Linked DNA regions of Drosophila melanogaster. The protein of the gene in region 1 interacts with the protein of each later gene in a pairwise test. Each region holds a gene or a part of one and is shown on either strand. Other genes may lie near its edges. The genes, in order: Pdp1 and BuGZ.

Region 1 (11,699 bases):
CTCACTCGTCCCGTCTTGCTCTTCCCCACTCTCTCTCACTCTCTTTCTCCGCATTCGCTTGATTTTTTTGCGCATTCCGCCTGTTTACTTTCTTTCGTGCCGCCTGGCAAAGTTCGCCGACGTCGACGTCGCTGCCGCCACGCTTGGCGGGAGCTGCGCTGCCGATGCCGACGTCATGCGGAAGCAGATTTTCCGCTGCCCACGAAAGCAGCAGCTTTGTTTTGAGTCAGTCACAAAAAAGCTTTGCGCTCTTCTAATTGAGTGATATTTTCTAAGCTCGAGTTGGATATTTTTGAAAAGAAGATCAAAATAACTTTTGAGTTTTAAGGTTTTTTTTTCTTCATTCTAATATCCCCTTTAGATAATGATTGTTAGTAAATGAAACAAGACAAAAGCTTACCATTAACAGTTTTAGCAAACCACAAAATTACTTGTACTCACAAAAAAGTCGATAATATTGAGTTTCGATGCTTACCTGTAAATAAAAGAGAGTGAAAATTGAATTAGAACAATGTTTTTTCAACAATAAGGAAAAAAAAAGCAAAATTGCATTTTTATAATAGTACGTAGATATTTGGTATTGTCAAGGGTGTCGGAAATTTCCCATGCATGGGGTAAAGGGGTGACCACCCACAGAGCCAACTGACATTTATCCATTTTAGCTTTCCCCACTCTTCCCACACATTAAAACGAAATTCATACAAATTATTATACATGCTGCCTTAAAAGGTAATTTTCGGTATATTCAATAGCGAAATTTGCACCAACCCCAGCGAAATACAACAAACAATCTAGAGGGAGAGATGATAGAACACCCACATCTCATTTGCCATATGCATTTCCATATCGTCAGCCATAAAAATCTCATCAGCCTAATTCCGAAATCTAATCAAACCAAATGTATTTCCCCAACGTTGACCAACTGAGGTCAGTTAAAAAAAAAAGGAAAACGGAAAAACCCATGAAAATTGGTGGCAGCTAAGCCGCGATTTTTGAAAGGATTTGTGCCAAATGCATTGACAAAGTAGATCAAAAAAGGTGAAAGGATGTGCCAAAAAAAACACACACACAAAACTGGTTGAATTGAAACCCTTTTAGGCCAGCCAACTAAATGCCAGCCATGTGGATCGTTTTCATGATTATTAAATGGAAAATTTAACGGCATATAAAGTAATTTTCCAGTTCTAATTGCCATGCATAATGAGAATTCCTATGGGCCAGCTACTAAGAGAGTCATCAACTGATAAGATATAGGTGTTTTTGTAAACAATACTCTGCTATATACCAACTAAATTTAGTTAATTCACTGGCAACGCAATTTGGCGTAGGTCGAAAAATAAGTAATATAATTGTTTATCTATAACACGAAGAAAATTGGTGAAAATAATGAAATAACCCTTGTGGTAGGCAGCGAGCCAATATACTTGGCGATTCCTCGTTGCAAAGATACATTTGCAAATGTATCTACATTTTGAATTCCATTTCCTATTCAATTCGAACCGTCGGCGACGTCAGTGAGTATTGTATATACGGGCTACATTACTATATGCATATAAACTATACTATATAGTTCAGCTGAGCTCACGTGTGCGCGGCAAGCTTTCTTGACTTTTGCGCTTTACAAGCTCGCAATGCGCAAAGTTCTCGGCCGCTGACGTCGGATGATATCAGTCCCAGTGGCCGGGATGCAGATAGAGGTTCTACAGACATATCGCACTGGGTTACCATGCACATACATACATATGTATGTAAGAGTATATATATCCAGACTTCCCAACGGAACGAACACTCATTTTCTAATGCAGCCTGGGCGAATATAGAATGGAAATCCTCAGAACTAGTCATACACTTTATCAGTTGTTTTTGGTTTTTCTCCCTTTAAGTGTGCTTTTTGTGTTCTCAAAACAATTTAGTTATTCAGAGTACTGTATACAACTAATGTTTAAGACAACCAAGAAAAGTTGAAGTATCTAAGCGGTAGAAAGATATATACATAAGTTTATATATATATACGAATGCACAGTACAGCTGTTAAGTAGCACTTTTCCATTTTTCTATAGTTAACAAACCATTTAAGGTCATTACTATATATCCAATATATATTTTCCAACAATTTCCCCCCCTTTTTTCCTCAAGTTTTTCACCTCACCTGAGCTGGCTGGCTGAAATCGCGCTTTCAAGCTGTTCAAATGGTTGTGATGCTCATTGGCGATCACTGCCGCTGCGACGGCATTTGCCACATGTTGCACGGAGGACACATTGTTGTTGCTGTTATTGTTGCTATTGCCACTATTGTTGCCGTTATTGTTGTTGTTATTCTGGCCGGGATTTCCACCATTTCCATTACCAGTTGCCGCCACAACAGCATTACCATTGCCACTGGCATTCCCATTCGATCCCTGGTTGCCACTTGCAACTGCAGCGGCTGCCGCAACAGCGGCAGCATTGCAACTGGCAGCAGCAGCTGCTGCAGCTGCAGCGGCATTACTCTGCGGATCCATGAAGGAGTTGCGCTGGTAATGGGGATTCTCCTGGTAAATCCTCTGGTACGTTAGCGTGGGCAGCGTCCACGAGTTGTTCGTCTTGTAGTGGAAGTTGCCGGTGCCGAAAATGGAGTGGGGGTTGGTGTTGCCACCGGTATTCCCGGCTGCAGCAGCAACGGCGGCCGATGACAGTGTATGTGCCAGCTGGGCGGCATGATGCTGCTGCTGCTGCTGCTGTGCGTGCTGCTGTTGCTGCTGCTGGTGGTGTTGCGGCGGCGGCTGCTGCTGCTGTTGTTGTTGTTGTTGCTGCTGGTGTGTATGATGCGGATGCAACGGGTGGCCGTGATGTTGCTGCTGATGCTGATGCTGGGAGTGCTGCTGTTGCTGCTGCTGCTGCTGCTGCAGGACATGCTGATGGTGCGCTTGATGGTGTTGCTGTAGGTGCTGTTGGTGTTGCTGCTGCTGTTGATGCTGCTGCTGTTGCTGATGGTGCAGGGCGGCGGTTTGTTGCTGCTGCTGCAAGGCCCAGGCATTCACGCCATTGTTGCTGGTGGCACCTGCCCCGCCGCCTCCTGTGGCGCTACTCTTGCCCGAATCATTGCTGCTAACACTGCTGCGATGGTTGTCCATGGTTCCCGATGATCCTGTCATGCTGCCATCATTTCCGCTGTCGCTGTTGCCGCTGCTGCTGTTGTTGCCGCTGCTGTTGTTGTTGTTGCTGCTGCTGCTGTTGCCACCGCTATTGCCCGCCGCTGCAGCAGCAACGTGCGAGTTAAGCTGCTGGAAATACTGCGACAATGTGGCATTCGCGTGCTCCTGGGCAAAGAAACTAGTACACGAATTCGTATCCGACGACATGATCACTGGTTTCAACAACTGGGTACGTTATTCACTGGGTTATCCTTCACTGGTTACGGTTAATCACTGTTTTCTGATGATCCTAGGTGATCACCTCCTTGTGCTGAACGTGATTAAATTTGCTGGTCAGCAGTATAAACTTTGGGCCACGGCCAAAAGTTGTGCGCATTGTCTTTACACTTGGGTTCACTTTAGTTTTTTTGTTTTTAACATAAACGCTTGTCTGTGTTATCTGAAAAAAATATTGTGCTTTTGTTTTTGAAAAACCCAGATTAGTGTTTGAGCACTTTGGTATGTTGCTGGTTTTTTATTTGCCAGTCAATTGATAGCCAATTCGTTGTTGCTAATGAACAGGTGATAGGTGGGTGAAAAATGTTGGGAATGATTCAGTTTTTCAGTTTTATTAGTGAGTATTGAGTATGATGGGGAAGCGATTTTGATAGCAACTGATAATGAATGCGCTTGTTTTCGTGTGGTCAGGGAATGCACTTTGTTTTCGTCTATTTTTGTATGATTTTTATTTAGTTTTCCATTAGTTTTTATTGATGATCATGATGATAAGGAATAAGAAAAGGCATTGTATAGTTGTATAGTTTGCGCTTTCTTTTAGTTCAATCAATTTTGTATAATAAGATTTTTGTGACGCTATAGAAATCTTAAAGTGGAATCAATAGGTACAAAGGCTTTCCGTGTTCTTTATGGAATTTTTGCAATCAAAACATTCACGGTCATTTATTGTTTTTGCTTCACTTTTAAAACGAGACAAACTAATAATTATTTGCCAATTAAACTGTATATCAAATCAACCGAGTCAAAGGCTTCCAATGTTTTTTTTTTTTTAACATTATTTCAACGTAAATTTGGAATATTTTCTATATATAAATCAAAACAAATAAATTATTATTTTCCAAATCAATTGAATTATCCTTTTCATTGATGAATAACTCTTCTTCCTTTCAGCCTTTTGTTGAATACCTTTTCTTATTCTCAGAATTTGTTGCTGCGCTTGGATATGAGATCGTTTTTTGCTTTGAGTTTTGCTGGTTCGTATTTTTCTTTTTGAAGTTTGTTGTTTTGTAGAAAAATTAAAAGTAAATTAAACTGTTTGAAATTAGATCCGTAACTTTAGCGCTGTTGTTTAAAGATTCTCGAGAGATCTCCGGATCTCTCGCTTTTTTCTCTATCTCTCTCTTTCACTCTGCCTCGTTCGATCTCTCTCTCTCTTTCTGCGTATTTATTTCTTTTTTAATAATAGTAATTATTCGAATGACACACACACACACACTTTAGATTGATTTCACAATGAACCCATTGCACTTGAAATTTGATAAAACAAAAATGACTTCCTCGATTTATAGTTCTTCTAGAACTATTTCTGTTGCTTGAAAAATCAATTTCAATTAATTTATTTTGTTGAGCGTAGAAATATTTTTTGATTTTCCCGCTCGAGTGGCGAAAACACGGAACGAGCTGCGACGATTTTCACATGAGAACGCGATGCGACAGAATGCCGGCCGAGTAATTTTCTCGGTCTCAATGTCCGTCTCTGCTTTTCCTCTGCCGCCGCTGCAGTCGTCGCTGCAGTCGACGTCGCAGTCGCCGCTACCGCTCTCTCAGCCAGCTAAAAATTGCAATTTTCTGCAAGTAAGTCGGCTTACGTAAAGGGCGGAGGTCCGAAAACAGTAACCCCTCTCCTACTTTGATAATTGTTTAACTGGCTTTTTTTTATCAAATGTTGGTAGCGCAAAATATTTGTACATGTACAACAAATATTTTTACATACAGCACTGGGAAAATGATTAGCATTACTACTATATTAATCAATTCAAGTGCCATAGGTATTTTTAGTACAGTTCTTGGTATATATTAAACAGTGTTCATATACGAGTACTTCGACTCAGATTTAGTATCAAATCTATTATAAATTATAATTCACTTAGGACTAAACCTATGTTATCTTCTTATATCTAATTATCTATCAAGAACTTAATAATATTTTTTTTTAAAGCAACTTTGTTTTATCTCAGTTATTTCAACATTACTTATAATATTCTAGTAACAAAATTTATTATTTTAAAACATTTTTTTCTTGCTCTTAAATGATTGCTATTATCTTGGACATAGCTGTAGTTATTTGTATATACTTGGGGGACTGGAACTGCGACGCCCGCTGAGGCGCTGAGCGCTGCTGCGGCCAAGTCACGCGGATTTCAATATGACCCAAAGCCCACTGTCTAGCACAGTTCTAAGCACGTGTTGCGGACACACCGGGCACACACACATACGCAAATTAATTGAGAGAGAGCGACAGAGAGAATGAGAGTGCACGTTGAACGACAAGCGCACTCAAAGATACACGTACCGATAGGGTGACAAATAGAGATACGAATGCAACTCAAAAGTTTCCAGTCGATTCGCAATAGAGCGCTATGTCTGTCCCCCTGTAACGGGTGTACCTATGGCCACTAGACTTTACACATCAGCTGGAGTGCGTGGCCGATTGGCCAATTGCCGTGCCAATATTCGGTTAATTCGGCACTGGTGCGTCTGCAACACGTGACGTATGCGTAATGTGCTCCAAAGGATTGCCTCTGTGCCACCAACTAATTACCGCTGCGTCATTCCCAGTAAGTAGATCCGATGGGGCAGAGTGGTGGGGGGGGGGGGTCTGAAGCTGAGTGCTTAACACTCTGGGCGAAAACCCAATGAAACGACGTAGTAGCTGCAACGGAGCGTATACTTAATCTGCATTCTATCGAAGGCGCTAAACTATTGCCGTAGGTCGCCGTTTTTCTTGGAAATTTCAAAAAGTATTCAAACTATTCGAGGGCTTAATCAAGTTTAAATAATTATAATAATTGCTCTCTGTTGGCATAGGTCCGGTAAATTTTCTTAGAAGTTTTGTATAATACACTCAATACTTACCCAATGATCATCGAAGATTTTATAACTATGAATCAGAGCAGTAAGCAATTTGAGATAAAATATAAAAACACATTTCTGATAAAAATGCAAATAAACTGAATTACAATTACATGGATTATTTAAGAAATATATAAATAAAGAAATATATAAAATAAATAAAATATATAAGACTTATTCAATTTGTAAGGTTCCATCTTTCGTTAAACCAATTCAAAAGAATTCCAAGAATATCCTCGCCATTTTTCTACTTGTTAAACTTGTTAAGTCGCCCACCTTTTTTCAGCCTTGTGCTATTCTTCGGTTAAACAAAACTCTTTTTTTTTTGCATTTGAGAAACCCAGTCAGCCCTGAAAACCCATCAATTGGCATAACCATGGACCATGTGGTAGAGCGAACTTCAGTCACCTGTTTTACCCAGGCGGGTCAATTCTGGGAATATCGAGTATACGCCCCGTGCAGCCAGTGACTATTTTTGGAAAGCAACAAGTCATCCGAAGCTCCGAAGCGAAGGAAAAAACGAAGTTTGCTTCGGGATCCAATAACAGAAGGATGTGCGGCAGAGCTTTGCTATTGGCCAGGCTTATATGCCAGTGAAGCCGAGAATAGGGAACCAATCCGGGAAAATCTGCCAACGTCGACATGGACAGAGAACGACGTCGACCGCGACGACAGCAGAGGCAGCGACAGCGGCGTTGTCAGGTTTTCTGTTTGTTTTGTTGTCAGTTGTTGTATTTCGTATTATCACGTTTCGCTACCACGTGCACCGGCGGTCTCCCCTTGCCAGTGTGTGTATCTGTGTGATTGGGCTACTGCCTCACACACACTTGGTACAATCAAAAACACACACCGACACACACCAGTGCAGCGCACTCACATAGATACGCCGTGGCGCTACGATGGATGAATGAGCCCTCAGAGAGCGCCAGAAATTGCTAAGCAAAACCCAACTGAGTCGAAGACACAGCTCTTGCTGGTTTATAAATAGCAATTTAAAGCATCGCACACACATTCACACATCGAATCAATGAGTCACACACACACTAGCATGGCTTTATTTTGCATCCGAAGAACAAAAAATACAAGTAGGAGAAGCAAAACACAGACTGCATAGATGTGCAAATAAAGCAAATTGTGCAGAATAAATATCGGAAGCGGAGCAGCAATCGGAAAGTAAACAAAATAATTGTTGCTCTTTTTTCAGGAAAAAAAAATATTTTTTTTATAGATATATATAATTCATTCTTGGTACTTGAAAATACCTAAATTTTTTTTGAATTTTTTTGAGCATATGTCGTTGCAAATTGAGGCACTAACACACACAGGCAGCAAATCAAACCTTCATTAAACACACTGTGATTTGGCGTGTTTGCATGGAAACCGTCTGGGTTCTGGTTCCATATAGAGGTATTATTATAATGGATCCGTTGGAGAGCGGGGTTTACGAGTCTGGCATGGCGACGTTGGAGTCATTATACACGTGTTTGCTGCAGCAGGTCGTAAATTAACATTTTGCTAAATAATTATTTAGAAATGTTGAAATGTGTAAACGTTTTTACGATAGCACGACTGGGTTATTAAAAGCCTGCAACCAATTGACCCAGATAGTGCAGCTACATTTACTTTTAAGGGTAAAATATATATAAATATTGTTAGTTAGACGGACTAACTTAGACATAAATCAATATTAATAAACGACTGAAATTCACTATAATATAATATACACCGTTTCGTGAACTTTGGCTCAAAAACAATTAAAAACATATAATACTTCATTTGTATAATTAAAAACTGTGTGAGTAATTAAAAGGCCACTTAAAATTAATTAAAGTGAAACAATACCCTTAAGTATAGATGAATCTGTTAAATATAAAATTTGATTGTTTTATCATTTTTTATGTATATATTTTGTGACTCCACAGATATCAACTCTTCAAGGTCTCAAACACGCCACACTCGATAATCCAATCTCCGTAGTTTTTATCTAAAGTTTTTCATTCATTGGCCGAAAATGTTAATACCAAACATGCGCCATGTCCATGTTTTTTTTTACGGTTTTATAGAACAAGTTAACGGAAAATAAAAATTATATTGCGGGCGGCTTATCAGTGAGAAACTTGGCCAACAGGTTGGTTTGCCGCTGGCCGCTGACCAGACAATAAACATAAATTTCATATCAACAAGCAGACACTTTTCAGCGACGCAATCAGGTGCGATGTTAAAGTTCAGCAGTCGGAAATTAATTTACGTAATTAAAGTACGGCCAATCGGGAAGGGTAGGAATTACCCTCCCCCCCCCCCTTCTTTTGGCCTTATCACCCAGCACTTTGGACTGGAAATTCGAGTAGCCCAAGTAGTGAAGTGAAGAAATAGCACACGCAGCTGACGTCGTCGCCTGGCGAAACATGTGACCTCGCTGGCAAAAAAGGGGGCGGTTAAGGCAGCAAAACAAAAAGCAATGAGAACGTCAGCAAACACGGAAATTTGATTTCGATTTCGATTGTTGTCGTAGGCTAAGGTGGTTAAAAATTCTAATTAATCACCAATATCCAAAGGAATCTCAGCAGGAAGACTATGCGCACGTGTTTCAGCCAAACGGTCTTGTGCCTGTGTATGAGTTCCAATGTTTTAGCAGGGGGCGGATGGGCGGAAATGGTTAGGCGGTGGGTGGTGTGTGGTGGGTGGCAGGGGAAGCTGTCAGACAAGCTGCCTTCAGCAAAACACAAAAACACAAACGGTATGCGCTCTCTGGCGCAACGAAAAGAGCGAAAGCTTCGGCCAGCTTTCCGTTTCAGTTGCATGAAATCCGCCGACAGAGGGCGCTTAAGCTTTTACTTTACAATGGAACAAATAGGTACATTTATGATTTAAAAATAATGTCGCTGAAAGCTCTGTAAATGTTGAACTATTGTTTCTTTATTTTAAATTTAAAAAAATACGTTTAGAATAAAATATTATATCGTTTCTAGTCAAAAATGCAAAAGTTAATTATAATTCAGTTGGTCGAAAAATTAAATAATCTCTCAAATCTTACATTACACGAAAGGGAATAAAGAGTAACCTTATTTACATAAGTAACCGAATTTGCAGTACTTTTAATACATTTCTTAAGGGCAATAAAATTAAATCCACCATATATGCGGTAATTAATAATTTATTGTCTGATGAATTCGTTAATAAGAACAATTAGTATGAAAACTAACAGAATAGTAGGCATGAATAACATCCACCCAAAAAAAAGTCAACACAAAGCTAAAAGAATTGGAGTGAAAACATTTTTTCGGTAGCGTGAATTCAAATTGCTTTTTTGTGCCCAAAAAATGTTGCGCTCGCCTTCATTTATTTATAGTTTTTTTTTTTTCATTCAGAAAATGTCAATGGTTTACAGCTGCCCGATGTCGGCGATAGATGGCGCTATATGACCAAAACATGAAATTGTTTTTGAAACAATATTTGGATATGTGGCCTGTGGACAAAAAATTAAAGCAGCTGCTCCAATTCTCAAAATGTAATAATTTTACTAACAACAACACTTTTCGTACAGATACACCCACACATTTATATTTATTCACGTATTTAGTTTCCATTTCATTTAGTTTTTGTGTTCACAAGAATTTTTAGTCACTTTGTCTTGTGACAGTTCTAAATGTGTAAAACATTGCTTAAACCTAAAATAAAATCAAAGGCATTCTCCACGCGCGTTTCCTAAACTCAACGTTGTCTGCCCAATACCTAAAAATACAAATTTTCATATTTAAATATACATTTCAATACTTTGCCCATTGAATTTTCGTTTTTTTTTTGTTTGTGGAAAAACTCACTCAATGACAGTTTCCTGCGTTTCGCTCTCAATAAGCTCGTAATGGAAATTAACCCTTTGTTGTCAGAAGTGATGCAACCGGGTTTTCAAATTGTCGTTCACATGAAAACTACTTCGAACTAGTAAAAATGTTGTTTGCATGTACGTATCATTTGCCGCTTAACCCCTCTCTGCCCCACGATTTTAGCCCATGAGCGGCGTTAATTGAGCTCTTTATTGTTGTTCCTGTTTCAGAAATTTTTTTATTTTTTTTTTTTGTAATTGCCGACGAGTGTTAATTAACTAAGCTGTCGGTTTGCATATAAAGTTGAAAGTGGAAACGAAATGCTATGGGTTTTATTGGAGCGGCATTGAAAAAGATGTTGATTAGGAAATTGTTTAAAATTCCTGGTTTTTTTTTAGAAACGATCAAAATTTTAAATCCTTACTAATGGCCCATTTCTGCTTTTTGCAATATTTAATAGTATAATTACATTTAAGTGTACTTACAATCGAATTGCCAATAGAAGCATCTACAGTAATTTATAAAGCTTACTCACCTATAAAGAAAACCAAAATGGAAAACATTTTAGTAAAAATTATATTAGATTATATTGTTTTATTATTAAAAACAGTACAATTTTAAATTAAAAGCACTAAGCTTACAACCATGTACTTATGTACAAAAGTGACGCGATTTAATCAAGGAAAACCATGTTCACTTCTATGTCGAAATGAAAACATAAAGAAAAGTGAGAAGAAAATGGGAAAATGTTTAAGGCCAATAGCAATCAATGGAAACATTAAATGCACTTGTCGCAGATGCCAAGACAATTTCTTCATATGCATTTGAAAATTCAACATTTCGAAATTGCTGCACTCATATCTTACACTGCATTTTTGACACTTTTCCAAGTAATTAACAAAATCAGCCTACAAAACAGCGGCAATTGAGAAACCATTTAAGAAAAAGAAAAATATATGCGTATAACATTTTTTATTGATTTAGCTGCTGGGAAATTTAGTTGAGCACTTTTGTTGGCTCATTAAGTGGGCAAACATATTTTCGCATTTCGCATCTAGCATTTTGTGCCCATTTGGCAGATGATTATACGAATGCACATATACCTCATACGCCCCGTTCGCCATATGCAACATTTCACAGTAATAAATCTGCCCCACATCCTCTGCCAGCCCGCGGTAAATGCAATTTCATCTTTGATCAAAGGCCAAATTGAATTTTCTATTCCATTTTCCCACAAGCCAAGGCAGGAATTTTAGAAAATTCTGAAACATATTCGTCCACATCAATCAGACAGTTTCGACGCCTTAAAGTTTTTATTTCTCTGGTATGTTTTCGTTAACTTGGGGCAGGTGTATTGTATTTACTATGAGTGGGTGGGTGGCTTGCCATTTGGCCAGCGGCATATTGTTGTTTTTCATGAAATACTTATATTTGCCTGGTGGGCCATAAATCCACGAGGAATCGTTTAATGAATTAGCTAACTAAAAATTAATTGGCCAGCAAATTAGTTTAAAGCGTCAATTTGGCTCAGTTCATTCGTAGTTTACTGGGCTTTAGAGTTTATGTGATTTCACTGGGTGAAAATTCCTGATTGGTATTTTAGCATTTTCCC
Region 2 (11,699 bases), on another chromosome or scaffold:
TCGGTTGTAAATGAAATTGAAGGAATCGCGAACCGGAAGTCCTCTACCTTGGTTTAGCATTTGTACTGCGCATTAAACCAGACGAATGGAGTGTTAGTGTGAATGGAAGTGGATGTGGATGGTATGAATTTGGAATGCTTTTGAATGAAGGAAGAATGATTTCGAGACAGAAATGCGTGATCGGAAAAACATAAAACACTGATATATGGTAATACAATTTACAGGTCATAAAACATTTAGATATTATGCTTATGAGGTAGTTTTCAGGTTTGGTTTTTATATTGGGGGGTGAAGTATCAAGTTAATAGAAACAGAGAGAGAGACATATCAATGCGGAGTGTTGTCTTACTTAATTCAAGTGTATATCTTGTGGATATGAATTAATCAATCAACCAGTCAATCAATCATCAATCAATTAAACCAACCAACGCAGCAACCATTACGACAAATTCAAAGTAATTGTTTCTTTTTTTTTTTTGTAATAGAAATTATTGAAATGTACTTACATGGCTTGCAAAATAGTTTAAACATAACTCACGACTGTTCTCTCATTCACTATCATATTTGTAAATGTTAATTGTTTTTCTGTTTTACTTGCAAGGCAGTACGTACTAGAAACTCATTTGGGGTCGGGGGGTTTGATCTTTGTGGATTATATACGCATGGATGTGATATTGAGAGATAGAGTAGAGTAGGTACTTGCTTAGACTACATAATTACTTGCATAAGTACGACTAAGTAAGATTATAATGGAGTTTTTGGCTTTTACTTATCTGGTTGCATTGCGCACTTTGTATATCACATATCATTTTGCGGGGTGTGAGTTTTATTGAGGGAGTGATTAGGTTGGGTTTTGGGGGAAGAGATAAACTTGCTTGTACAAAAACCATACATACTGTAACTCTTTTTGGACCCTGCGCAACACTTTTGCAACACTTATCGTTTATCAACACTGAACTTCTGCTCTGTACTGCAATTGTAACGGTAACTTTAACATATTTTTCCAGTTTACAAGCTTAATAGGGTTTTTAGATTTATACATATGGCGTAAAGACGTAGTTGAGACTGTTGATCTTCCTTGTTTCTAAGCTGGGCAAAAGTAATGGGTTCGAAAAGAAAAGGGAACTTTAAGCGGTAGTGTTGGTAAGCGGTTGTAGTTAGCCAAGTGATTGTTTTTACACTGATGAAAACGTTAATTTGTTTTAAAGAAGTGCAAATTTCTTTTTCCTATCAGCTCCTAAATATTTTAATTTTTTAACAAACTAAATCCTTTATAAAATTAAAAAAAAAAAGTTATATTTTTTTACAAATACACACATTTTTTTAATGTATCCGTTGACGGTTTTAACATAAATTTTCAGATTAGTCTTATGAGTGTGCGTTTCGGTTAACCATAGATTATCTCGCTATAGGATCATTGTAAATTTAGAACCCCCAACTAATCGCGTAAACATTAGCTAATAGGTGACCAACCATGATGATGAGGGCGAAGCTTTATTTATTGGGTTAACCCACTCGAAAATGCTGTCGTTGGCTTTATGATACCATTCTAGGACACAAGATCGGTATTTGTATTGTGGTCTTTTACAGATTGAGATTCTCAGCAATTTCGGAATTTCGGTATTGTTAAGGCAAGTTCATTCTTTGGTTTGATTGCTCGCGTGGCATACGCAGCACCGCATGATTAGAGACTTACCATGCCGACGGCTGCGGCCGCCGCAGCCGCTGCTGCCGCACCGGGATTCCCAGGCTGTCGGGCAGCCTGAAAGCGCTGGAGCATCACAGCCCGATTCAGTTCCTCCAGTTGTTTGACCTGCTGCTGCGCCGCCTGCTGCTGCTGCACCGCCGCCTGTTGTTGTTGTTGCTGCTGCTGCACCGCCGCCTGCTGTTGCACAGCGGCTTGCTGTTGCTGCTGAGCCGCCTGTTGCTGCTGTACTGCCTGCTGCTGTGCTGCCACAGCGTGTGCCACATGCGCGGCTTGCACCTGAGCTTGGACCACGGCCTGGGCTTGCGCTTGGGCCTGCACCTGGGCAGCATGTGCGTGTGCGTGTGCCTGCGCCTGTGCCACGGCAACTAGAGCGGCGTTCTGTAAGAAAATGTTTGGAATCGATTGAATTTATCTCACTTGCCACTGGGAGGGTGTAGTTTCGGGGTCAACCCAAAAAAAATGTATCCTGACTGAGTCAGGTCTCTATGTACCTATCGTGGTAACAAAAAAATTTGCTTAAGGGTTTCAAAAAAACGGGGCTGAACCCCAAATGAAAAAATAGAATTGCAGATTGTAAGCTGCTGAAGTAACAAAAATTGACGAACAAAAATTACTAGATCATATCAAGAATTAAAGTAATCATCTAATTTAAGATTCCCTATTTAAAAATGAGTTTTTAGCCTGCGCTTGATGTAAAAAACGCTTCCTAAGCGTGTATGGAACCGACTACATAGATTTCTAAAACATACTAAGCAAGCTGGCTTCAAACCTGCCCCTATGATCCAATTAAATCAGCCCACCCGCTATAAAGAATTTCACTATTTATCAGTGGGCATGTGAATTGCATTTCAGCTGCTTCCGCTTTACCTTTAAGATACAAAACTAGCACATGTGTTGGCATATCACATTGATGGAGATTACTTTTAGGGCCAAGACAATGCGAAACCTTGCTTTTCCCTTCTATCGAGTTCTCTATGTGTTGAGGTAAAATGTTTTAAATCAAATTAATTAAATTGAAAACCGCCGTTTCATTTGTTTTGTTGCCATTAATTTTTTTTAATTAAAAATTGTACAGACATATATCATACTATATGCTAAAAAAAGTTTTCTTTTCTTTTTAATGTTGTTTCGTATTGTGTGATTCTCGTAATCTGTTTGCTCTCGTACGCTGTGGTCGTCTAAACGTAACTTCCGCTGTCGCAATTTGCGATCTGCGCAGAGTAAATGTATAAAAGTGTCCAGTTTGGAAAAATGGAATTCTGTTAGAATGCTGAATGCATTCTCTTAAAATGCAGTCGAAATTGGGTCAGGTTTTTTTATGTGCAATTACATTTATTCTTTCATTATTTTTCTTTTTTTGGAGGAAATTGTCTTTTTTACACGTCCTCGTTTCAGTCCGTTGTGCTTGTCATTTCCTGTTAATCAGTGGAAGTCGTTTCCGTCACGGTCTGTTTATTTATATTGACTATGGTTTCTATAACTATGATAAGAACTCACTTCCTGGGCCTTCGACATGGCTGCGGAGACGACAATCGAGTTAGCCATGCCACTGCTGCTATTGCTACCCGTGGGCGAGATCCCGGCCAGCGACGGGGGCGGCGGAGTGGTGGGAATCGACGTAGAGGGGCCACCATTGTTGCTGGGACTCTTGCGACTTTGTGGATTCGCCAGTGAAGCCAAAGCGGCCGCCAACCGTGCTTGTATTTTCGGTTGGCGCGCGCGCAATTCTTCCAGACTCAGGTCCTCCTGTGGATGCATAATCTTTGTGGTCACAGCAGCAGCGGAAGTTCCGCTTGCCGCCGGTGGAGCTGGAGGTCGCTGCTGGTGTTGCTGAGCATCTGGCGGACCACTTGGTGGTGCGCTGGATGCGCCACCAGCATGATTGGTGGTAGGCGGAGCACTTATGGTAGCATTACTTTAGCAAAAAGAAGAAATAATTGATTTACGTTAGTTAAAAACAAATTCTTAGGATTAAGCCTAATAATAAGTCATTTGACTTGCTTCACAACTATGTTTAATAGGGGAAAACCATTAAAAATGTGCCAATGTGAACAATTATTTGGAGTAGAAAGTATTTCACCTAAAATACCCCCAAAACTGAATTTACATACGAATCGTTTAAAAAAAAAAGATTATTAACAGGGCTCTACGTCTAACTGCTAGCTTTAGAAAAAAAAATTGGAAGGATTCTTATATGGTCTTCCCCTAACGATGCTAACCTGTACGCTGGAAATGTTGGCTTTTGTTGAGCCATGGCGGCGGCGTGGTGATGATGGGCCGCCGCCGCAGCAGCTGCCGCCGATGTTGTGGCCATGGCGGCTGGAAACAAAGGACGCGGAGGCATCATGTGCGGCATCATGGGCACTGGATACGGAGGCAGTGGCGGCATGTGCTGCATCATGCCCATGCCGTACTGCCCCAGCATGTGCGGTGGCATCATGTTCGGGGGCATCATCATAGGCGGCGGTACACTCATGGCATCTGCAATGAATGTTGTATAGCGATTTTGTATACAATACAGTTTGCTGATCACTTACATTCTACTTTCTTTTTGGCCACCGGTTCATCATCGTCCGAATCAGACTTGCCACCATTCTTCTGACGTTCGTGATCCCTGAGATCCTCGGCGGGAATGCCGTCCATGCCAAAGATTTCGACTTCAATATTTGAGCGATTGGGCAGCGAGTTGGGGACCTTGTCCACCGTTTCCTTGTGCACCTGCATGCAGTGTATGGATAGTCCGGGTCCGGTGTACAACTTCTTGTGGCAGATGTGGCATTTGAAGTGCTTGGCCTTCTGGTGCTGCACAAGGATCTTTTCGTCATCGAACTCACGGTTGCAGTACCTAGTTTTTTGCGTTAAGAGTTAAGGAAAATTCACGGGGATGCGGCGTTGTAGCCAGTATGCATATACATGTGTGTGTGTATCTACCCCCAACCCAATACCATTATATAAATGTGTGTGTATGTGCAGATACAGCGAGCGGCACATGCAGTGAAAAAATATTTATATCTTTGTTTTGCGAAAAGGATACCAGCACCAGGGTTTGGAGGCCTTCTTCTTCTTGCGTCCCATGATCCTAAGGTGGCTTTAAAACACTTAAATGTACAAAATCGATCCGGTAATTGGTAGAAGATAACAATCTGTTGTACTAAAAATTGCTCTGTCGTGGAAAACAAAATGGAGAGCCAGTCAGAGTGACCAGCATATCGATACAAATAAATGAATCTTATCGATATCTTAAACCAATATAATAATTATTATACAAATAAATTGATATGTTCGCCTCAATAGCAAAAGGTAAGAAAATAATTTCACAATGATGACAGTAGAAATAAGAGAACTTTGTTGTCATATTTTTCAAATAACATTAATTCTTACATATGTTTATTCCATTATTATCGATTATGTACCTCAAAAAGCGCGGCCCATAAGATTACTTCACCAGCGCCATCTGCTGGCTAGTAGCGCCTTATTTGGTGTATTTCTAAAAAAATATGCTTTGGTCACTCTTTACCAGCCGGCATTTACCAAAAACAGAATAATGGCAGATAAAAAGGTAAATTAAATAGAATAACTACATTGTGGTGCTTAATCATCAAAATCGTGACTTGTCAGGTGGGTGGCAACAATGACGGTAAGGAGAAGCGCCGCAAGGAGTCCATTCTGGACCTCTCCAAGTACTTGGAGAAACAGATCCGCGTGAAATTCGCGGGCGGCCGCGAGGCATCCGGAATCCTCAAGGGCTACGATGCGCTGCTCAATCTGGTGCTGGACAACACGGTGGAGTATCTGCGCGACTCGGATGAGCCCTACAAACTGACCGAGGAGCAGACCCGCAGCCTGGGACTGGTCGTCTGTCGCGGCACAGCCCTCGTCCTCATTTGTCCGCAAGACGGAGTCGAGAGCATCGCCAATCCGTTTATAACGCAATAGTCCAAGGTTTTGTGGCTGGGATGCGTTCCAGAATGTAGACTAAGTACAAAGCTCTTTTGGAAATCGGTTTAAATATATTTAGCGGAGACATACATACGTATAAATTAGTTCTTAAAATCTAATCAGGCCGCAAAGTACCACGTTTATGAGCCCGCGAAATTGTTTAAGCTTCTCCATAAAATTCAGAGTGTTCCGATTTTAAATTAATGCACTTTATCCTCTTCAGGTATGTTACGAAGTTATCTACGGGTTTGCTTACGGTCAGATTTTGAAAGCTGAATCATCTAAATATGCGTAATCCAATTTATAAATATTAATTTTTCTAAACAATTAAAACCTAAAATTGTATCAATCTTATCCAATTACTTATGGAACGCTCCAAACATTATGGATATATCAAAGCGCCTTGCGCAGAGCCCTATAGTGTCAAGCGGGCTATCACCTTAGTCCAAGCCGAACTCGTTGCGAATCCAGGGATACTGGGCAGGACACTCCATGCAAGTGTAGAAGAATCGATCCTCTTGCAGCACCCGACTACGCACCTTGCACACATTCGGCGTGTTGCAGACCTGCTCGTGGGGATCCAAGTCCTTCGGTTGGCAGTGCCAGGACTCGAATTGGTGCAGCTGGTTGCTGGGCGTGGGATGGCGCATCCACTGAATCGCCTGCTGGTTAGTCACGAAGAACACATCCGGCAGCTTTTGCAGATCGTCGAGGAATTTCTAAATGATCAGGAAGGAATGAAGATCTAGTATTATGGGTAACAATTCGAATATTCACCAGAAATGCATTCAGATAGTCGACTTTCTTGAACCAAGTCGAATGGAAATACAGGCCAAATGGTGCCCTATTGCTGAGGTAGTGCCTCTTGAAGTTGTGCGTGAGCATTCTGTACACATCCTCGCCGCTCAAATGCGGCGGACACGTGTCCACCATGCCGCACATATACTCGCCCACTTCCAGTTGGTTCATAACCAGCTCCCAAATGCCCGGATAACTCCTAGACGGGCAATTCTGATTTACGCCCGTGCAGCTGTGCGGCATCTTGTAGTCCAAGGTGTAGGGCCACAGAGGAGGATTCGAATGCGGCGCAACCATGGATGAATCGTACACGAAGCCAAACTCCTTCATCATGAGAAACTGTCGATTCCAGCCGACGCGCAGAAAGGGTACTCTCATGCCACGAATCTCCTCCATTCGTACCGCTGCGAACTTATTGATTATATTCGCCTGGCCAACCATCTCATCGAACCAATCCTCAATTGTGGCATTCTTGGACCACCACATCTCTGGGCCACGATGCCTTTAATCAATAAAAGTGAAATTTCAATTTTAAATAATTTACAGGCTGATCAACAACTTACGTTACTGAGTGCACTGCGATCTCGTGACCATCGTTCCAAAGCTTCTGCACATACTGATAGTTGGTAAACGGATGTGAAACGTAGAATGTGCCCTTAATGGGACACCCGTTGGGGTTTCGCCTGTGCTGTGTGAACAAAACCTTGGAGAACAGCTCCCAGTTATCGTGATTGATGGCATCGTCGAAGGTCAACAGTATCATCTGCGGAACACTCTGTGCCGGAAGACTGCCGGGTATCTGGGTGCCATCCTTCGAGCAGAAGCACTGCGGCAAATGGCACTTTCGCGGATCACAGGCACCAGCCGCATTCGGATCGTGCTCCACATCGCACCAGCCTTCGTCGGAGCCGTCGGGACAGTCTACCGAACCATCGCAGAAGTACTCCTGCGGCAGGCAGGTACCATCGGCGCAGCCCAACTGGTATTCATCCGCACAGTCGGCCATCTCCAGTAGTGGTTTTGGAGCCGGCGTCTCCGCGCTGACATCGCAATTGTCCACATTCGCCTTGAAGTCGCAGATCTGACGCACCACATCGAAGAGCAATCCCTCGGAGCACTTGAATTCGAACACCTCACCGTCGAGGCAGAGGAAATACTTGGCGCACTCGCTGTTCGTCCAGATCTTGTGGACCGGCCTGTTGGGGTTGCGGTAGAAGCGTGCATCTTGCATGCAACTGGCTGCGCCGGAGGTCGAGCGACGATGCCGAGTTTGGTTGCCGACTATTCCATCATTGTCTGCAAAGCAGGCACACAAAAAAAGAAACTGGGTGTGAGATAGCCGTGTGTAATTAACAAGGAGACTGATTACTGATTAATGCATTGACCCAAAAACGAAACCGCTCACGTCAGCCCAAAATTAGCCGCTTGCAGAAATATTTTTGCTTTTTTCCAGCTGGATACCAATCACGCACTGAAATGGGTGGTGCGCATAGTTGCCAATAGTAGTCAACTATTACGGAGCAAGACGACAAAAAACAAAAAAAAAACCCACGTCGCTACTTCAATTGAAACGAAAAGTTGGACAAACTTCAAGGAAATATATGTATATATGAATGTGTGTAGGCCACTTGCTCGCTTAGAAGTGCCTGAATTCCGAGGACCGTTGGACTTCGATGACCTTTTTGATTGGCTCGAGGCCTCAATTAACATTATATTAACCATAATGTGATCTTAGATGATCTTCCGCCGTGATTTAAACGTGATGGAAACAATAGTAAGACAACTAGTCACGAAGTACAGCTGGCACTAAACTAGCACTCAAAATTATGTTGACTTGCCATTTAAAAATATTTTTCCAATTTATATGCACTGGCAAACTTGGAAATGATTATGAATATTGAAAATATTGGATAAATATTGCTAGAATTGAGTGTAAACTATGGAGCACCTTTGAGATAAGTATAGTAAATTGTTGAACTTTTTCAAATCACTTGTGTAATAGGTCTTTCTGAAACTAACGCCAGCTCCACCCACTTGGAAATGCGTCCCAGCCATGTGCCACATTGCGGCGGACGGGTTGAAATGCGTTTGCATCATGGATCGGCAGCAATGGCCCGTAGCCGTGCCGCACCATATCGTAACTCAGGCGGTTGGGCAAGCGACGCGTGTTGGCCAAATGCAAGATGCGATCTCAAGATTGGAGATATGTGCATACATATGTGTGACTATAGTAGATAGACCGACTGACTGACAGTCCGTGTGTGTATATCTCCATCTCCATCTCGATCTCCATCTGAATCTCAATCTGCAGCTCTAGCTGAATGTCTAGCTGGGGCAGCTGGGCATTTGCAGCATTTAGAAAGTAAATTTATCATCTCCGCCGGCCAGAGAGGCCAAGGCAGCGGGTCAGGAAAATTTCAGCAACTGTCATGGGGTTCAATGCACACGCTCTTTTTAGTTTTTTTTTTTTTTTGTTTTGTTTTTTGGGGACGGGTGCGGGCATGTGGACAACCCGACTTGGCCCCACTTGGCTGGTCGTTTCGTGTTATATAACTCCTTCGATTCGATCGACAACTTTCACACCCAATGTGCGCATGCGCGCATGAGCATGCCAAAAACTAAATAAATTCAGTCGTACCCAATCGAAAAGCGAACAAAAGGGGAGAAAATTACCAATGACCAGGGCGTCCAGCGACGACGACATAATCATAAGCGCCACCATCATCCAGATGCACAAACTGGGTAAGCGGTGGGCGTTGGGAATTCGCGCTGTTGGTTGTGGCTTCGAGCGTCGCTGGGCGGAAGCGACGACCTTGACTGTGAAACCCGTTTGGCCATTTGCATTATAGGCATTTTCCCCCGGGCAGAGCATTTTTCAGCCTGCTTTCCACTTTGCCACTCGCGTTTGTGTTTGGCTGCTTGCTTTGAGCGCTTTAATCTTGCGCGCGATCGGAAAACCGAAGGAAAAACCGCCAGTGAAAATGGTTCCGCACCGAGCCAAAGTCGAGTTGTGACTAAAGTCGTGCGAGATGCAGCCAAGGCATTATATATATTTGGGCATTTCTCTGACTTGCGGATAGCGGAGAGAAAGCTCCGCGCAGTGGGTGTCTCGCTTATGTTTTTGGGGAGCGCAGAGCGCGCTGAGTTATTCATAATTTCCAAACTATTACACGGCTTTTTTGGAAATTAAGTAGTTTGCTTGCTTATTATGAAATTCATTTACTTTACGATGAAATAAATGTATTTCATTATTTTGCTAACTTCATCGAAAAAACTACTTAGTTGAGTTTTATTGTGATTTAATTAATAATATTTCATATTATATTTACAAATATCAGTTTCATATATGTTTTAGAATATTTGAAATTTGTTCTTAGCGTCGATGTAACGACTTTTAATTTAAATTCAAACTACAGAGCTGACAACTCGCCTGATTTATTTAACGGCCTTGCCAGTATTTTGCGGGCACATCAAGACGGTCACACTGCTGATAGCGTCCTATTACCATTGGCGCCCGAAAAAGCGATTTTGTAATTCGAGGATTTTTCCTGGATAAATCCACACGGAGAATTTACTGAGAATAGCGCACGATGCAGAAGGCGCGTCCCAGCAAGGGCACGCCCAAGGCAGCTGGCGGAGCCCGGCAGAGCGGCCAGTTTCGCGTACCGCAGCTAACTGCTCAGCAACAATTGCGGGCGCAGCAACAACAGGAGGAGGAGGACGCCGCCGTGGACGCGCTGGATGATGCACTGATCTTCGACGACGAGGAGGGCGGCACCCGGATCGGCGACATATACATACCGCCTCCGGTGCCGCCACATTGCTCCATGGAGAGCACCGGACCGCGCCTGATCATCTCGAAAATTGTAAATCGGAATTTCAAGAGCTATGCGGGCGAAGTGGAATTGGGTCCCTTCCACCAGAGCTTCACTGCCATCATTGGACCCAATGGCAGTGGCAAGAGCAACGTTATCGACTCCATGATGTTTGTGTTTGGTTGCCGCGCCAATCGCATCCGTTGCAAGCGTGTCTCCACCTTGATCCACTCCTCGTCTAGTTATCCCAATTTACGCAGCTGCTCGGTCGCCGTCCACTTCAAGCAGATCGTAGACAAGGGCGACGGCACATGCGAGGACGTGCCCGACTCCAGCATTGTTATCGAACGCACTGCCATGTCGGACAACTCTTCCTACTACCAGATCAACGACAAACGGGCGCAGCTCAAGGATGTGGCTAAGCTGCTTAAGAAGCATCATGTGGATCTGGAGCACAATCGCTTCCTCATTCTGCAGGGCGAAGTGGAGTCCATTGCCATGATGAAGCCAAAAGGGCAGACTGAAAATGAAACTGGAATGTTGGAATACCTGGAGGATATTGTCGGAACACAGCGCTACATTCGCCCACTGCAGCAGATAAACCAACGGGTAGATCAACTCACAGACGACCGAACAGAGAAGCACAACCGCTGCAAGCTGGCCGAGCGCGAGATGAAAGATCTGGAGCAACCGTTCAATGAGGCCGTCGACTATCTGAAGAAGGAGAATGAGCTGGTGCGCACCAAATCCTTCCACATCCAAAAGATCATCAGCATCAAAAAGAGCAAGCTGGAGCAGTACACCCAGGAGCATGAAGCCTGTGCGGAAGAGCTAAAAACCCACGACGAGGGCACTGCTGCCCTGAAACAATCACGAGCCGAAAAGGAAACAATCATCCGAAAGGAAATTGAGTAAGTACCTAGCTTCAACTTCAAACTGAGCTATATATTACATTACATTACGTAATTTCAGAGAATACGAAGCTCTAGTGAAAAAGCGCGAACAGATCAAGAAAAGACTTGTGACTGTTGAGAGTGCCTACACAGAGATCCAGAGCACAATGGAGAACACGAACAAGCAGCGCAAGAAGGACAAAGCCCAGATAGAAAAGAACGAAAAAGAGCTGGAGGATCTGCACAAGTTGCCGGAGAAAAATCAGCGCGAGATCGAGGATTGCAACAAGAAATTGGAGAGCCTGGAAGTAAGTAAGGTGACACTGAATGAGGAGCTTGAAAAGCAGCAGGCCGAGTTAACTAAAACCACTGCACCGCTTACCGAGAAGCGCCTTAAGCTCAGTGACGAACTGGTGGGCCTTAAGGAGAAGGTCAACACGGCTAAAGGAGAGGTTCAAGTGTTCGAGTCGCAGCTCAAGATCCTTAAACAGGCAGAGACCACTGAGTCTAGGAAATATGAAACCCTAAAAAGTTCGTACGAGCAGT

The links.
Region 2: the proteins of Pdp1 (region 1) and BuGZ interact in a two-hybrid assay, tested with the Drosophila melanogaster proteins (one large-scale study listed by BioGRID).

What each region holds. Positions count from the first base shown.
Region 1 is NT_037436.4:7,828,238-7,839,936, forward strand, and holds the start of Pdp1 (PAR-domain protein 1), read right to left. Parts: upstream 4,837-11,699; 5' UTR 4,317-4,836; intron 3,591-4,316; 5' UTR 3,342-3,590; coding exon 2,150-3,341; intron 1-2,149.
Region 2 is NT_033779.5:16,736,614-16,748,312, reverse strand, and holds the start of BuGZ (Bub3 interacting GLEBS and zinc finger domain protein), read right to left. Parts: upstream 4,909-11,699; 5' UTR 4,784-4,908; coding exon 4,749-4,783; coding exon of another isoform or gene 4,743-4,748; intron 4,554-4,742; coding exon 4,246-4,553; intron 4,190-4,245; coding exon 3,928-4,189; intron 3,624-3,927; coding exon 3,206-3,623; coding exon of another isoform or gene 3,161-3,205; exon of another isoform or gene 2,748-3,160; intron 2,087-2,747; coding exon 1,697-2,086; coding exon of another isoform or gene 1,685-1,696; exon of another isoform or gene 1-1,684. Other genes in the region: LSm7 (uncharacterized protein), read left to right, coding at 5,253-5,267, 5,327-5,644; ChLD3 (chitin and LDLR binding deacetylase 3), read right to left, coding at 6,088-6,366, 6,425-6,947, 7,009-7,741, 9,119-9,317; glu (gluon), read left to right, coding at 10,036-11,171, 11,233-11,699.